Linked DNA regions of Tamandua tetradactyla. The protein of the gene in region 2 purifies or fractionates together with the protein of the main gene of each other region. This does not show direct contact. Links are inferred from orthologs where the notes say so. Each region holds a gene or a part of one and is shown on either strand. Other genes may lie near its edges.

Region 1 (7,286 bases), on a different chromosome or scaffold from region 2:
CTGGGATGAGGTGGGGGAAACTTTCCAGGGCATTCAAGGCCCTTGACACCTGGTCCAGCCCCTCACATCCTGGCCCCAGGCTCCAGCCACCCTGACCTGCTTGCATTTTCTCACGCCTGCCCGCCCAGCACTCTGCCGCCTCCCCACCCCCACCCCCACCCCCCATCCCGCTGGGCCAGCCTGCCTAATGCCCACCTCCACCCTTGTTTATGGCAGAAGTCCAGGCCCAGTCGCAAAGGGCTTGTCCTCTGAGGACCTCTGCTCCCCCCACCCCAAGCACGGCAGCTTCCTTCCTTGCGCTCCAGCAGAGCATGGCCAGGGCTGAATCAGGGTTGTTTGTTTACATTCTTCACCTCCCCCACCACCCCACGAGCTCCCCAGGAGCAGACACTCAGTTTGAATCATCGTGAGTCCCTGGTATCGCCCAGCCCAGGGCTGGGCCCAGCGGAGACACTGGGGAACATTTATTGAATGAATGAGTGAGTAAGTGAGTGAATGGAGGGGAGGATGGAGAGGAGGAGAGAGAGAAAGGAACCTAGAGAGAGCCAGGAAGGAGTTCAGGTACCGTTTGATCCAGCTGCCTGACACTACTAAATCCACCCTGCCAGTTCTGTAAGTGGGGGATTCTGGGCCAAAAGGGGCACAACTTGCCCAGGTCACACAGGCATCTGAGGCCACTGGGCCCTCCTGATGGGCGCTGAGCTAGACAGGCTGACTCTGGCCCTGGGAGGGACAGGTGAGGCATCGCAGCCACATAATGGCTCAGAAAACCCGAGTCAGTAGATTCTTCCCAAGTTTATTCAGCCTTTTCCTGACTCCTGGCACTGGGCACCGCCCCCTGGGCACTGCCAGCTCATGTTCATGCCGCAGGGAAAGAAAGGACCTCCTCCTTCACAGAGGCTGCGGGTCCTGCTGCCATTTCAACAAAATTCCCTGGGTTTGCCAGCTCAGCCGTGAGCACCCACAGGCCATAATGACTGGGGAGCTGGGGAGGGTCTTCTGGGCGTGCAGGCCTGGGGGCTCTCCCATGGGGCTCTGGTTCTGCATCCAACCCCACCCGGTCAGGGCCCCCACCAGCAGCCAGGGAGCTGCCCCTTCCTTGCCCATGTCCTCCATCCCCACTGCCAGAACCCAAGGTCAGCCACTGCACTCGGTCCCGGGGGCCTCCGTGCCAGCTCCTTGCAGCTTTCTGTTGCCCACCAGGAGCCTTCGACTCAGCTGCAGGAATTCTAAAACCACCAGCTCACAACCCTTCTGGGGCTCTCCCTCCCCTGCAGATGGCACTGAAGTCTCTCCGCATGCATTCAAATCCCTGCACCCTCGCCAGCACCCTCACCCTGCCACCTCCACCACCACCTCTGGGCGTCTGTGTTTGCTGGTTCCACTCCCAGAACACCGTTCCAGCCTGCAAACCCAGGGCATGTATGCTCATTCTCCTCCTCTCACGGGGCGAGTCTGAGCTCCCAGGGCCTCAGAGCAACATTGACCCGGCACCCATAGCTCTTGCCCCATGTCTGTCCTGTCTCCCCCACCACAACGACTCTGGGGTCTTGGACACAGCCAACCTCCGTCAGCATTTGTTGACTGACTGAATGATCTTCTCCCAAGGAGGCCCAGGGTGGGCCGTGGGGAGGGTGGTGGGCTGCCTGCCCTCCTCTCCCCCAACAAGTCGGCCCATCCCCGAGGCCGCTGGGGCCAGGCCAAAGGCTCCAGCAGACCTGGGTTTGAGGCCGGCTCTCCCCTCCAGAGCTGTGTGATCCGACTGATTCTCTAAACTCTCCGAGGCTGGTCCCTCCCGTGTAAAAATCCTCTGTGGACACCCGTAGGCCACACATGCAGAAAAAGAAAAAATTACCCTCGTCATAAATTTCACACCTTATATAAAAATTAACTCAAAATGGAGCGGGTCAATTTTTTTTCTTTTAGAATAAGAAAAACATGCAGAAAAAATCTTCAGATGGACGGCTAGACAAAGAGTTCTTAGAATTAACACCAAAAGCATGATCCTTAAATAAAAGTTGATAAATTGGACCTCATCAAAATTAAAAACTTTTTTTTAGCTCTGCATGAGGCCTTGCGCGGAGGGTGAAAAGCCAAACTAACTGCCTGGAGAAAATCTCTTCATACCACAGACCCGGCAAGGGCCATCTCTCTAAAATATATAAAGAATTCTCAATACTCAACTCTAAAAAACCCCAAACAATCCAGTTAAAAAATGGACACAAGACACGAACAGACATTTCACCAAAGAGGCATGGTGTCATGTCATACACATGACAAATAAACACATGAAATAAACATGCAGCATCATTAGCCACAAGGACAATGAAAATTAAAACCACAATGAGACGTCACTCTGCACCTATCAAAATAGCTAGAATTAAAAATAGGGATAACACCCAATGCTGGTGAGGATGTGGAGAAATTGGATGATGCGAACATTGCTGGGGGGAACGTAAAATGATATAGCCACCCTAGAGAGCAGTTTCGCAGTTTCTTTAAACAAAACAAAGCAAAACAACACAGGCAGTTATCGGATGACCCAGCACTCACACATTTGGGCGTTTGTCCCAGAGAAAACCTGTACTGGAATGTTCACGGCACCTTTATATGTAATAGCCCCACGTGGGAAGAACTCAAATGTCCTTTGGCAGGCGAACAGTTAAAGAAACTGCAGTCTGTCAATCTTACCGCAGAATACTATGCAGCAATGAAAAGGAAAGATCTAATAATGACAGACGCGACATCCAGGATGAATCTTCTGTGGATGGGGTAAAAAAAAAAAAAGCCAATCCCCAAAGTTTCCATACTTATGATTGCATTTATATAACACTCTGGAAATAACAAAATTATAGAGAGGGAGGGAAAATTAGTGGTTGTCAGGAATTAGGGCTGTGGGCAGGCAGAGGGAGAGACGGGGGGATGGCTCTAAAGGGGCACGAGGGAGATTTTTGTGGTAGAGGAACAACTCCATGTCTGGGCTGTGATGATAATTACACAAATCTACAAATGTGATAAAATGGCTTCAAACTCCACAAACGCACACACGCAAATGAGTGCCTGGGAGATGGGTGGCATCTGAATAAGGTCTGTGGGTTGTGCCAAGGTCATTTTCCTGGCTTGATGTTGCATCTAGTTATGTAAGCTGTGACCGCTGGGGAGCTGGATGGAGGGGTCAGGGACCCCTCTGCTCATTTTCTGAGAACTTCCTGTTAATCTCTCCCTATGCACAGGTTATTGCCGAGTGCAGAGATAGCGAGCAACCCCTGGGGCCTGGGAGGGGGCCGAGTGGCAGGGAAGACTTGAGACTGGAGGTCAGGGAGGGGGACCCAGGGGCACTGGGGCAGGAGAGGTTGCAGGTGCTGGGTCCAGGGGTGCTGGGGCAGGAGAGTGTGCAGGAGGAGAAGCCTGACAGTGGATGGCAGGGAGGGTCCGACTCCAGTTCAAACCTGGGGTGCGGTGCTCTCAGGTTGGAGTCCTAGGGACACACCAGAGGACTGCTGGACCTGGGACCAGGTCTCCCACCCTCACCGAACAGGCCCCCATCCCCTCCCTTGATCCAAGAGGCCTGAGCCCTGCTTGGATACAAGGCACCTGGGGTGGGGGTGGGGGGCGGCTGCCCCGGCGCCTGGCTGACTGGCTGTGGCATGCAACGAACCTGGTGGCCAGGTTTAATGGGCTTTGCGTCCCCACCCTGGCAGCCTGCCTTCAAATGTGCCCCCGCCCCCATAACCAGGGTCCCCAAGCCCTGGGGACGCCTGCGGAGAGGCGGGCCTCACCCAACCCACCACAGCCTGTGCCCCGCCCCCCTCGGGGTTGGGGAGGGTCCCTGGTGACGCCTTCCCCGAGGGCTCAGGCCTCAGAACTGGTACCTGCTCTATCCTACAGCTAAAGCTCCCCCCACACACCCTCCTGGTTGGTTAGCCAGACCTTGCATTACTCTTGCCTTGGGGCTCCCAAGGCAGACACAGCCCCCACAGCCTTCCCGTCCCACTTGCAAGGCCTGGGGACAGAGCAGGGACTCCAAGGCCGTCGACTCGCTGTGTGACCTCAGGGAGCGCACTGACCCTCTCTGGGTCGCAGTGTTCCGAGGAGCTCCTGCCCTTGGACCCCCGAGCTCCGTGGGCTGCCCGCACCGGGGGTGGGTGGGGCAGCTAAGAGAAGGTGTGCACACCCGCCCAACGTCTGCCGGTGAATCAGCTTCCGGCCCCGCCTCCCGGAGGCATGTGACCGCAGGTGGCCGCCGGCGGGATGGGCGGAGCGACAGTGGCCCGGGCCCGCCCCCCGCCACCGCCTCCGCGCCCAGCCGCCGCGCGGTACCCCTCCAGTCTGCTCTGTGCCCGCGCCAGCTCCTGCCGGTAAGTGAACCCCGCCCGCGACCCCCGGGGACCCCCCGCCAGGCGCTGCCGCCGGCCAGCCGCCCTTCCGGGGCTCCCAGACCCGTCCCCCGGCCCCGGACCCCTCCAGGAAGGCCCTACGGCTCTCCGATGCCTAGCACCCTGGGATCTCGAGATCCTTTCCCAGGAGCGCCCAGAAATGCGGAGCCCGCTGGGCCAGGCCAGAGACCCCAGAGTTCAGGCTCTTGCTCCCCAAATCCTGGAAACTTTGGGAAGTCCCGAGCCTGCCCTCATTTCCCTTGGAAGTTGCCTGAGACTTCGGGGAGCTCCGGAAATCCCCTGGCACCCCAAAACCCAGGCACACGGGTCCCCTCGCGCCGGCCTCGGACCCCCACTCTCACCCTCTACACACACACACACACACACACACACACACAGTCCCCATCTCGGACCCCCACTCTCACCCTCTACACACACACACACACACACACACACACACACACACACAGTCCCCATCTCGGACCCCCACTCTCACCCTCTACACACACACACACACACACACACACACACACACACACACAGTCCCCATCTCTGCCCAGCCCCTCCCACCCCCCCACGCCAGCCCGCCCCCACCCCCCCAGCCCCCGACCCGCCCCGGCGCGCCCCGCCCCCGGCCCCTGCCCTCACCGGGTCTTCCCCGCAGGTTTCTATGGACAGAGGCGCAGAGGCAGCCGGGCGGCCCCAGAGCGCGCCGTGCGCCCCCGCCGGGGCCCGGAATTAGGCTCCCGCCCCGCCGGGCTCGGCTGCCCGCGGCCGGCACCATGGCCTTCTCCCAGGTGCAGTGCCTGGACGACGGCCACGTGAACTGGCGCTCGAGCGAGGCCAAGCCCGAGTTCTTCTACAGCGAGGGGCAGCGGCTGGCGCTGGAGGCCCTGGTGGCGCGCGGCCCCGACGCCTTCCGCGAGGTGCTGCAGCGGGAGAACATCCGCGACTTCCTCTCCGAGCCCGAGCTCCAGCGCATCCTGGACACCATCCAGGTGTACGACCCCGGCTCCGAGGACCCGCGCGCCGCTGGCCGCTGCGGGGGCCCCGAGGAGGGGGACGCGGGCGGCCATGCCGAGGGGGCCAGCGGGGCGGGCGGCGGGACCCTGACCGAGGCGGAGCCGCTGCCCTCCCTGGAGTACTGGCCCCAGAAGTCGGACCGCTCCATCCCTCAGCTGGACCTGGGCTGGCCTGACACCATCGCCTACCGGGGGGTGACCCGGGCCACGGTCTACATGCAGCCCCCCATCGACGGGCAGGCCCACATCAAGGAGGTGGTGAGAAAGATGATCAGCCAGGCCCAGAAGGTGAGGGGCCCTTGACAGGGGTCCTCCAGTGGGTGACAGAGGGCTTGATGGCTCTTTGTGCATTGTTGGGGGGCAGTACCAGGCTCCCTGGACCTGGCCAGCAGCTTCCCCAGACATGGGGTGACGGCGGGGTGGTGAACTTTCTCTCACTGGTTCTCCCCTGGGATGGCTCTGACCATCCCCTCCCACCCCCCACCCCCACCCCAGGAGGAGCAGGGCCCCCTGCTGTTGCCTCCATGGGGAGCCGGAGAGAGCATGGGCTAGGGGTAGTCACAGAGCTTGAGAGGAGGCTGAGTCCCTCTGAGGCTGGCCTGGAGGTCCTCATTCACAGCTGGCTCTTTCCTGGCTGCACTGGGCATCTGCAAGTGAGGTGCTCACCCTCTCTGAGCCTCCTGACAAGAACAGAGTCTCTGTGGGCTGGGAGAAGTGCAGGGAGTGTTGGGGAGGTGGAGTAAGTGCAGCTGAGTCTTGTTCACCTGAGTTGAATCTCACCATCGGAAGGGAACTCAAGCATTGTCTGAACCCCCTTCCTGGCCCCTGCAGGCTATGCAGGGGCCCCAGTGGGTGGCTGTACCCCACTCACACATATTTGCGATGCGAGGCAGCCCAGCCATTGCCACATCTGTAACCATGAGCAAGTGCTTCTTTCTCTGAGTAGAAGTGATTTTCCTTGGATGCAGAGCACTTCCTAATGCAGCTGACAGAGGCGCCTAGCAGGCTGTGTTCAGAAGGATTCTGAAGCCCAGTCTGAGTAGTGATTGATAAGCAGCGGGTGCCCTGGCCTCAGGCCGTGACGGAGGAGGTATTAACTCGCCAAGGCTACCCCCTTCACCTTCACTGGAAGGCTGGCTCTGGGCCACCCTGGCCGACACACAGACCTGAGTGAGCCCTTGGGCAGAGGCCACAAGTGGCTTAGGTTTCCAGGACAGCCCCAAGGCAGATAACCTTGTCAGGGAACCTGGCCCTTGGCCTGCCCCTCCCCCGACTCACCGGAGTCTCCAGGCAGTTGGGACCTTCGGTTTTACGGGTCTGTAAAACGGGTCTGTAAAACGGGAGTGGTGAGGATAGAAGCTGCCTCTTTGTGCTGTTGTGCCGGCAAGGAGGAGGGGGAGAAGGAGGGGGGAAGGGAGGCAGGGGCAGTGACCTTCGACCTTCGTGGGTCTCAGGTTGAATAATCCACCCCACTCGTGCCATGGGGTAGGAAGGCATCACTGACGCCTAAGCTCGCAGAACCCAGTCCCCTGGGAGAGCCTGTTGGGATCCCATAAAAATGGGGAAACTGGGGCCCTGGGGGACGGAGCCTGATCTGCTGCACCCCCCCAGGGATACCCCCCTCTCCACCTCTGTGCCCCACCAGATACCAGATTCCAGCACTGCCTGGGAACTGGCCAGAGGCATCTAATCTTCCCCAGACAGAAAAACAGGTGACCTGGCCCCGTGATGGGGCCTGATAAGGGTGCCCGGGGCCAGGCTGGGCACTCGAGGCTCCCTTGCTGACTCCCTGGCCTCCTCCCCACATCGCCTCGGCAGGAGCTAGGGCCCAGCAGCTCTGTGCAGTCCCAGGGGTCCCCTGTAGCTCCCCCCCAAAGTCCCACAGGTT
Region 2 (10,651 bases):
CTGAGTAAGTCAGTGGTGGAAGCCTGTTGCCTTACTTCTCCTTGAAGAAGAGCTAAGTTACTGGTAGAAAACCTCCCAAGAAGAAGAGGGGTAAGGAGTACAGGAGGGAAGAAAGAACGAAAAGAAGGGAAGTGAAGAGTGAAGGGGAGAAGAAAGAGGGAGAGAAGAAGAACCTGTAACCCTGAGTCCAAGAGGACTCCATGAGGAGTGAGCAAAAATGGCCAAATGTGTGTGGAGGAAAACCCGAAAAGAATGATTAAGGAGGTCAAGGGAAGTGTGTCAAGAAGCAGGAATGGTGATGGGTGGCAAATGCTACAGAAAGCACACTATGGTGAAAAACATGTAACAACAGATGTAGTGATGAAGCAATATTTAAGCTCCTGAGCAATGATTTTAGGAGTGAATGGATGGTGAGAAATTTGAGATTAAGACTACTCTTTCCAGAAGCTATCAAGACAAAAAGGGAAGGCTGGAGAAAACAGAGCAATTTTTCTTTTTTAAAGGTTGAAGAGACAGCACTTAAGATGTTTAGTGAAGATGACTAATTATCAAGCATGGTGTTCAATGCGAGGTATATAAAGAAAGAAAAAGAAACTATTTACATTAAAAGGGAATGACAACAAAGAATTCATTAAAAAATAATAATAATAAATGAAATGACCAAGTTTTCTCTGGAACTCTCCAAAAGACCTTTCATGTTTCTTCCACCTCTGCCAATCCCTTAGCTAGATTAGAGGTTAACTAGGCAACCATGATAAAATGGGATTCCCCTGCTCCCAAATTTCATGAGAATTTTTGACTGTGCACGTCTATAGATTCTCTAAGGAGTGATCTATGGCTTTCTTTCATCCAATTAGTAAAGCAGTGCCTGACTTTAAAAAGGTCAAAACAGACCAATTTAGATTTTCTAGGCAGTCAGTCCATCAGGATACATTCATATGCCAACAAATCAATTCAACCAACAGAATGAGAATTCAAATAAGTCTCCACAAGGACAAACCTTTGGTTTCCTCTTTTTTATTCTTGTGTGTGCATCTATTTCAAATGATCATACTAAACATGAAAGATGATCAAGTCTAGGGCTGTTTACATTCTCTGGAATACCAGAATAAAACAATAGTAAGAAAAGAATACTTTGCACCAGCCACTACTAAGAAATACTCAAGAAACAAAAACCTTTGCTGCTTACATTCTAACAGGGAAGACAAAGCAATGAGTTAAACGAGGTACCCAAAGAATAACTGAAAGATGAAACAAAACATGCAAGTGATGTACAATTTGAGGTAATGTCAAAATACCTTCAATAATACCCAAGAAAGTTGAGTAGAAGTAGTGAGGTTTTAAACAGAACAAGAGGATTCATTAATTAAATATTTGGGAAACCACTAGGTCAAAGCACTGGTAAATGCTGTGGAAAATACAAACCCTGGAATCCACCCTCAGTGGGGCTTTCCATCTTTCTTTTTCAGCTAAAAAAGGTTTTAGTCTCATGTTCACAAGGCTAGAGCTGAAAGGAGTTAAGAGGTATAGAGTTCAAGCCTACTCACCTTGAGAGGAGGAAAAGCTCAGGAAGCTGAGTGCTTCTCCAGCCTGGGGCATCCAAGCCTCTCTTTGTAATGCAAAGTGTACAAGCTTTGCAGGCTCAAAGATCTTGAGGTGCAAATTCAGATTCTGCCAAGTCCTGGGCCTTGGCTCTCTCATCCCTAAAAGGGAGATGATGATAATACCAACTTCTCAGGTAGGTATCACTCCTTTCCTTTTCTTTTCCTACTATACTATAAATGTTAAATGATATAACTAAAAGGCTGAAATGGTACCCAATTAACTCAGAAACATATTGTTTGTGATGACAGACATCAAGGAAATAAAGGACTCAGAAAGCAGGGACTGGGGTGGTAAAAGAGAACATACAGGGATAACATTAGCATATAATTTTCAAAACAAACTCACAATGAGAAGTGATCAAAATAGAATATAAGTTCTTAAAGGAAAGGACAGAACTGGTAGAAAGACTTCTTTTACCAGTCAGCCAGTTGCTCTAATGCCCCAGGGCAACTCCGCACTTGACAGAAGTGTGCCGCATGAGACAATTACTAGATTACAATAAAGCACGTTGGTTTTTTTTTTAATCTTTTTCTTTTTAATACACTTTCTGTATTCCCATGATTCTGTTTCCAGTCCTCCTTTCATCTTCCTAACAACATAATAAGAAAACCAAAGGCCTTCCTTGTCCACTAAACCTTGAAAAGTTGAAATATAGCAAGTAAATTGAAACTGAAACATAGCAAGCAAACTGATAAAGAACATGGCCTTTGCAGTCAAACAGATCTTGGTTCAAATCCTAGTTCCAACCTGAGTCATGAACCCAAGTATCATAACAATACCTTAGGCTCTAGGCTCTACCTACTCATTTGTTGTAAGAATTAAATAAATGAACACTCAGGAAAATATCTAATACACAGTAAGCATGCCAAGTCACATATCTCAAATGTCACCTTCCCTGTGAAATACAACCCCCAAGTAGAATTAATACAGTTTTTTCTAAACTCCCAATGAGGAACTGCCATGTGTGTTCCTTCCTCAAATTCTCCCTTTCCCTCACCACCGAGAGGGTGGAAACCTTAAGGGCCAGGACTTCCTCCCTAGCCCCAATCTTACCCAGTGCCTGACCTATAGGAAGATTCCAATGTGGGGTTATGGAACCAATTTGAATCAGAGTTGTATTATATCCTACCAGCTAGGAAACTGTCTGTTCTAGTTTGCTAGCTGTTGGAATGTGATATACATCTAGGGATTAGAAGAAACCGTTGCTCCCACAAGACTGACTGGGATTAAAACATGGCTTTTCTAAGGTACATAAATCCTTCCAAACCAGCACACTGTCCAGAGAGAAAATCTCAAGGGATGAGCTGTGGAAAAGGAAGAAATCCAAAATATCCCCAATTGTGGATAATAATCTATCATGTATGTGATAATTATATTCATGATGTCTCTAGATTCAATCTAATCCTGTCCAAATGCTTGGGCTGTGATCATTTTGAGGAATGATGAGTTCCCAAAGTACGTGTCATATAAAATAAAAGAGCACTTTTTGTTATTCACCTTAAGTTTACCTCTTTCTATACTCTAGGAAAGTCTCTATTATATATATTAGCTCACTCCTTCTTGCTTCTTTGCCCAAATAGTGGCCTAACAGGAGCATGTAGGACTAAAGACTATATAGCCCCACTTGTAAAGTTTAAGTGGCACCTAAAAGGTAATTTATTTTAAAGGTGAATTATACATATTTGGAAATGGATAGCACAATACCATGTGATGGCAGAACACTACTGTGAGTGTAATTAACAAGGCTGAGCATGAGTATGGTTGAAAAGGGAAGACTAGGGTCATGTATGTCACCAGAAGGAAAGCTGAAGGATAAAGTTTAGAATTTATAACATAGTGAAATCTACAGCACACAATGATTGTGGTTAATTGCACAAATTTAAGAAAGTTTTTACATGAACCAGAACAAATGTACCTCACTAATACAAGATGTTAATAACAGTGTGGTATATGGAAAAAAATAAATTAATGCAAACTGAAGATTATAGTTAACAGTAACACTGTAATATGCTTTCATTAACTGTAACAAAGGCACTATACTAAAGCTAAACATCGATAATAGGGGTGTGAACCTTGTATCTGATGCTCCTTTTATCTACCTTGTCAACAGACGAGTAGAACATATGGAATAAAAATAAATAACGGGGGAACAAATGTTAAAATAAATTTAGTATGAAATAATAGGGGTGTGTAAGGGGTATGGGATATTTTTTCCTAGAAGAAAGAAGAATATTTTCATACTAACTGTGGTAGTGAATGCATTAACTATGTGATTATACCTACAGTCATTGATTGTACACTTAGGATGGATTGTTTGATGTGTGAATAAAACTGTTAAAGAAAAAAGAAAAACAGACAATTCCTTTAAGAAGGAGGAAAAAAATGCATTTGGCAATCTTCCCCTTATACCTTTTAGACCATATTAAACAGCATTAGAAGCACACAGACTTTAAAACTTTGGTAGAATGCAGCTGCAAAATGGTCTGAGTTACTGCTTTCTCTTTATTCTTTTATTGAAATCGATAAAGTTTAAGATTTCTATTTAAAAAAAGGATAATTTTTTTAGACGTTCCTAACTTAATAAGGACCCTTAATTCCCACTTTACAAAAATGCAAATCTGTGAAATCTCTAGCACACAGAAGTTTCACCCTACTTTCCAAAGACTCAGTGGCAGACCTGCAAATTAAGTGAAATAAAATGGTCACCAGCATTGGTGGGAGGAACCCCTTTTTGAGAAAGGATTTTCTGGAAACAAAAACAATGGACCCACCAGGGGCATCTAAGAAAATGGAACAATGGAATATATCTGTAGAACTGCAGATAAGCAATACCTGGTAATAGACCAGTTTCAGTCTAGTAAAATAGCTTATCAGAATGGACAAGCATACCACACTAGCCAATGCATATCTTTTTTTTTTTAATAATATCTTTTTATTATTTTTATTTTTAGGGAAGGAAAAAGCGAAGAAAAAGAGAATGAGAAAGAGAGACACTAAAAGAGAGAAAAACAGAGGAAAGGAGAAGAGAGAAAGGAGGGAGAGGAGGAGGGGGGAAGGAAGAAAGTAATGTTGGCAGCTAAGCATCACATTTCCCATCTGTCCCCAAATTCTTCACCCAGGTCATACTAGAGTAAAATATCAGAGAAGCTGCACTGACTTTCCATGTTGGAGCTGACCACTTCTTAGCCTATTATTCAAAGCAACTCATAAAGTTCGCCTGAGCCTTGACATTGTCATCTTTACCAGAGTCATAATATCAAGATTATATAGTTTCTATCCTTTCTTGTCTAGCTTATTTCACTGAGGATAATGTTCTCAAAGTTCATCCACGTTGCCATATGCTTCGGGACCTCATTTCATCTTATTGCTGCATAGAACTCTATTAAATGTATTTCCACATTTTATTTATCCATTAGTCTGTTGATGGACACTGGGACTGCTTCCATCTTTTAGCAATTGCAAATAGTGCTGCTATGAACATCCAGTGTGCTAATATCTGTTTGTGTCACTTCTTTCAGAGTCAATGTATATCTTCCATTTAAAATAGAAACTTAATGTCAGCCAAACAGAACATTTCTTCATTTACTTTTGTGTTTGTTCTATATAAGTTCCCCCTTCTCACCACTCAGTAGAGCTCCTTTACACATATGGTTTTGATGCTGCCCAATTCATGAATGATAAACACCTCAAATAAACTCCCATAATTAATATTTTATCTAATATTTTTAACAGTTTTGGTGTCAAAAGTGGGATCTGGGGTTCCAGGAGCCATGTTGGGAGGGGCGACACAGCCTCCGCAGCTCCAGTTGCAGTGCCCTTCCCGGTTCCCCCAACCTAACAGAACAGTTACTGGGGGAGTGGAGACAATACAGAGCAGCTCCCGGAGCCACGACGGAGATCAAAGGGACGGCGTACCCCATCCTGGAACGGCTGACTGTCTGGGAGAACCAGCTCCAGTGAGATCACCGAGGGGCGCGGGCTTTCCCGGGCGGGACGGCAAACGGCTGGAGTCCCTCCCTTCCTCCTTCCCAGGCCAGCTGGCAGAATTGGGCAGGCGGTCCCCTTGGGCCACGGCGGCTGGCGCCCGCACCATGCAAGGCCCCCCGGACCAACTGAGAGAGTTGGGTCGGAAATCCCCAGACTGCGGAGAACAGTGACCGGGGGGTCCCTTCAAAACACGTGACTCCCCGGTCAGGCTGGGAACAGTGCACTCTCCCGGGCTGCAACAGCTGGCACCCTCCCACCACGCTTGGCACCCCGGGCCGACTAGGAAATTCGGTCGGGCGCTCTCCCGTGCTGCAGCGGCCGGCGACCCTCCCTGCGTTCGGACCCCCGGGCCGGCTGGCACTCTTCCAAGACGCTTCGGCTGCTGAACCTCCCCTACGGCGAGAGTCTTTCAGAGTTAAAGGACCCACAGCAACTTTCGCTGGTGGAACCCGTAGACAAACGTGTGCCACGAGCGCCACCTACTGGGCAGGATAAGAAAAACAGAACCCAGAGATTTCACAGAAAAATCTTTCAACCTGTGGGGTCCAACACCCAGGGAAATCTGACTAAATGTCCAGACGCCAGCAGAAGATAACGGATCACGCTCAGAAAATTGAAAATATGGCCCAGTCAAAGGAACAAACCAATAGTTCAAATGATACAGGAGCTGAAACAACTGATGCTGAATATACGAACAGAAATGGAAAACCTCTTCAAAAACGAAATCGATAAATTGAGGGAGGACATGAAGAAGACATGGGCTGATCAAAAAGAAGAAACAGAAAAACTGAAAAAACAAATCACAGAGCTTATGGAAGTGAAGGATAAAGTAGAAAACATGGAAAAAACAATGGATACCTACAATGATAGATTTAAAGAGACAGAAGATAGAATTAGTGATTTGGAGGATGGAACATCTGAATTCCAAAAAGAAACAGAAATTATCCGGAAAAGAATGGAAAAATTTGAACAGGGTATCAGGAAACTCAAGGACAATGTGAATCGCACAAATATACGTGTTGTGGGTGTCCCAGAAGGAGAAGAGAAGGGAAAAGGAGGAGAAAAACTAATGGAAGAAATTATCACTGAAAATTTTCCAACTCTTATGAAAGACCTAAAATTACAGATCCAAGAAGTGCAGCACACCCCAAAGAGATTAGACCCAAATAGGCGTTCCCCAAGACACTTACTAGTTAGAATGTCAGAGGTCAAAGAGAAAGAGAGGATCTTGAAAGCAGCGAGAGAGAAGCAATCCATCACATACAAGGGAAACCCAATAAGACTATGTGTAGATTTCTCAGCAGAAACCATGGAAGCTAGAAGACAGTGGGATGATATATTTAAGTTACTAAAAGAGAAAAACTGCCAACCAAGACTCCTATATCCAGCAAAATTGTCCTTCAAAACTGAGGGAGAAATTAAAACATTCTCAGACAAAAAGTCACTGAGAGAATTTGTGACCAAGAGACCAGCTCTGCAAGAAATACTAAAGGGAGCACTAGAGTCAGATACAAAAAGACAGAAGAGAGAGACATGGAGAAGAGTGTAGAAAGAAGGAAAGTCAGATATGATATATATAATACAAAAGGCAAAATGGTAGAGGAAAATATTATCCAAACAGTAATAACTCTAAATGTTAATGGACTGAATTCCCCAATCAAAAGACATAGACTGGCAGAATGGATTAAAAAAACAGGATCCTTCTATATGCTGTCTACAGGAAACACATCTTAGACCCAAAGATAAATATAGGCTGAAAGTGAAAGGTTGGGAAAAGATATTTCATGCAAATAACAACCAGAAAAGAGCAGGAGTAGCTATACTAATATCCAACAAATTAGACTTCAAATGTAAAACAGTTAAAAGAGACAAAGAAGGACACTTATACTAATAAAAGGAACAATTAAACAAGAAGACATAACAATCATAAATATTTACGCACCGAACCAGAATGCCCCAAAATACGTGAGGAATACACTGCAAACACTGAAAAGGGAAATAGACACATATACCATAATAGTTGGAGACTTCAATTCACCACTCTCATCAATGGACAGAACATCTAGACAGAGGATCAATAAAGAAATAGAGAATCTGAATATTACTATAAATGAGCTAGACTTAACAGACATTTATAGGACATTACATCCCACAACAGCAGGATACACCTTTTTTTCAAGTGCTCATGGATCATTCTCAAAGATAGACCATGTGCTGGGTCACAAAGCAAGTCTTAACAAATTTAAAAAGATTGAAATCATACACAACACTTTCTCGGATCATAAAGGAATGAAGTTGGAAATCAATAATAGGCGGAGTGCCAGAAAATTCACAAATACATGGAGGCTCAACAACACACTCTTAAACAACGAGTGGGTCAAAGAAGAAATTGCAAGAGAAATTAGTAAATACCTAGAGGCGAATGAAAATGAAAACACAACATATCAAAACTTATGGGACGCAGCAAAGGCAGTGCTAATAGGGAAATTTATTGCCCTAAATGCCTTTATCAGAAAAGAAGAAAAGGCAAAAATGCAGGAATTACCTGTCCACTTGGAAGAACTGGAGAAAGAACAGCAAACTAATCCCAAAGCAAGCAAAAGGAATGAAATAACAAAGATTAGAACAGAAATAAATGAAATTGAGAACATGAAAACAATAGAGAAAATCAATAAGACCAGAAGTTGGTTCTATGAGAAAATCAATAAGACTGATGGGCCCTTAGCAAGATTGACAAAAAGAAGAAGAGAGGGGAAGCAAATAAATAAGATCAGAAATGGAAGAGGAGACATAACTATTCACCTCACAGAAATAAAGGAGGTAATAACAGGATACTATGAACAACTTTACGCTAATAAATACAACAATTTAGATGAAATGGACGGGTTCCTGGAAAGACATGAACAACCAACTTTGACTCAAGAAGAAATAGATGACCTCAACAAACCAATCACAAGTAAAGAGATTGAATTAGTCATTCAAAAGCTCCCTAAAAAGAAAAGTCCAGGACCAGACGGCTTCACATGTGAATTCTATCAAACATTCCAGAAAGAATTAGTACCAACTCTCCTCAAACTCTTCAAAATAATCGAAGTGGAGGGAAAACTACCTAATTCATTCTATGAAGCCAACATCACCCTCGTACCAAAACCAGGAAAAGATATTACAAAAAAAGAAAACTACAGACCAATCTCTCTAATGAATATAGATGCAAAAATCCTCAATAAAATTCTAGCAAATCGTATCCAACAACACATTAAAAGAATTATACATCATTACCAAGTAGGATTCATCCCAGGTATGCAAGGATGGTTCAACATAAGAAAATCAATTAATGTAATACACCACATCAACAAATCAAAGCAGAAAAATCACATGATCATCTCAATTGATGCAGAGAAGGCATTTGACAAGATTCAACATCCTTTCCTGTTGAAAACACTTCAAAATATAGGAATACAAGGGAACTTCCTTAAAATGATAGAGGGAATATATGAAAAACCCACAGCTAATATCATCCTCAATGGGGAAAAATTGAAAACTTTCCCCCTAAGATCAGGAACAAGACAAGGATGTCCACTATCACCACTATTATTCAACATTGTGTTGGAAGTTCTAGCCAAAGCAATTAGACAAGAAAAAGAAATACAAGGCATCAAAATTGGAAAGGAAGAAGTAAAACTATCACTATTTGCAGACGATATGATACTATACGTAGAAAACCAGGAAAAATCCACAACAAAATTACTAGAGCTAATAAATGAGTACAGCAAAGTAGCAGGCTACAAGATCAACATTCAACAATCTGTAGCTTTTCTATACACTAGTAATGAACAAGCTGAGGGGGAAATCAAGAAACGAATCCCATTTACAATCGCAACTAAAAGAATAAAATACCTAGGAATAAATTTAACCAAAGAGATAAAAAACCTATATAAAGAAAACTACAAAAAAACTGCTAAAAGAAATCACAGAAGACCTAAATAGATGGAAGGGCATACCATGTTCATGGATTGGAAGATTAAATATAATTAAGATGTCAATCCTACCTAAACTGATCTACAGATTCAACGTAATACCAATCAAAATCCCAACAACTTATTTTTCAGAATTATTAAAACCAATTAGCAAATTTATCTGGAAGGGCAGGTTGCCCCGAATTGCCAAAAACATTGAGGAAAAAAAACGAAGCTGGAGGTCTCGCGATGCCGGACTTTAAGGCATATTATGAAGCCACAGTGGTCAAAACAGCATGGTATTGGCATAAAGATAGATATATCGACCAATGGAATCGAATAGAGTGCTCAGATATAGACCCTCTCATCTATGGACATTTGATCTTTGATAAGGCAGTCAAGCCAACTCACCTGGGACAGAACAGTCTCTTCAATAAATGGTGCCTAGAGAACTGGATATCCATTTGTAAAAGAATGAAAGAAGACCCGTATCTCACACCCTATACAAAAGTTAACTCAAAATGGATCAAAGATCTAAATATTAGGTCTAAGACCATAAAACAGTTAGAGGAAAATGTAGGGAGATATCTTATGAATCTTACAACTGGAGGCAGTTTTATGGACCTTAAACCTAAAGCAAGAGCACTGAAGAAAGAAATAAATAAATGGGAGCTCCTCAAAATTAAACACTTTTGTGCATCAAAGAACTTCATCAAGAAAGCAGAAAGACAGCCTACACAATGGGAGATAATATTTGGAAATGACATATCAGATAAAGGTCTAGTATCCAGAATTTATAAAGAGATTGTTCAACTCAACAACAAAAAGACAGCCAACCCAATTACAAAATGGGAAAAAGACTTAAACAGACACCTACCAGAAGAGGAAATACGGATGGCCAAGAGGCACATGAAGAGATGCTCAATGTCCCTGGCCATTAGAGAAATGCAAATCAAAACCACAATGAGATTATCACCTCACACCCACCAGAATGGCCATTATCAACAAAACAGAAAATGACAAGTGCTGGAGAGGATGCGGAGAAAGAGGCACACTTATCCACTGTTGGTGGGAATGTCAAATGGTGCAACCACTGTGGAAGG

The links.
Region 1: the proteins of VAPB (region 2) and FAM83G purify together in Homo sapiens (affinity purification with mass spectrometry; 3 studies listed by BioGRID and IntAct, counting the BioPlex papers as one, with this or other methods). This does not show direct contact. The link is inferred for Tamandua tetradactyla from reciprocal best matches to the Homo sapiens genes VAPB and FAM83G.

Annotation. Positions count from the first base shown.
Region 1 is NC_135332.1:2,152,041-2,159,326, reverse strand, and holds the start of FAM83G (protein FAM83G), read left to right. Parts: upstream 1-4,286; 5' UTR 4,287-4,358; intron 4,359-5,040; 5' UTR 5,041-5,158; coding exon 5,159-5,686; intron 5,687-7,286. UniProt on the Homo sapiens protein: Substrate for type I BMP receptor kinase involved in regulation of some target genes of the BMP signaling pathway. Also regulates the expression of several non-BMP target genes, suggesting a role in other signaling pathways.
Region 2 is NC_135327.1:27,002,265-27,012,915, forward strand, and holds the start of VAPB (vesicle-associated membrane protein-associated protein B/C), read right to left. Parts: upstream 4,503-10,651; 5' UTR 1,702-4,502; coding exon 1,548-1,701; intron 1-1,547. UniProt on the Homo sapiens protein: Endoplasmic reticulum (ER)-anchored protein that mediates the formation of contact sites between the ER and endosomes via interaction with FFAT motif-containing proteins such as STARD3 or WDR44.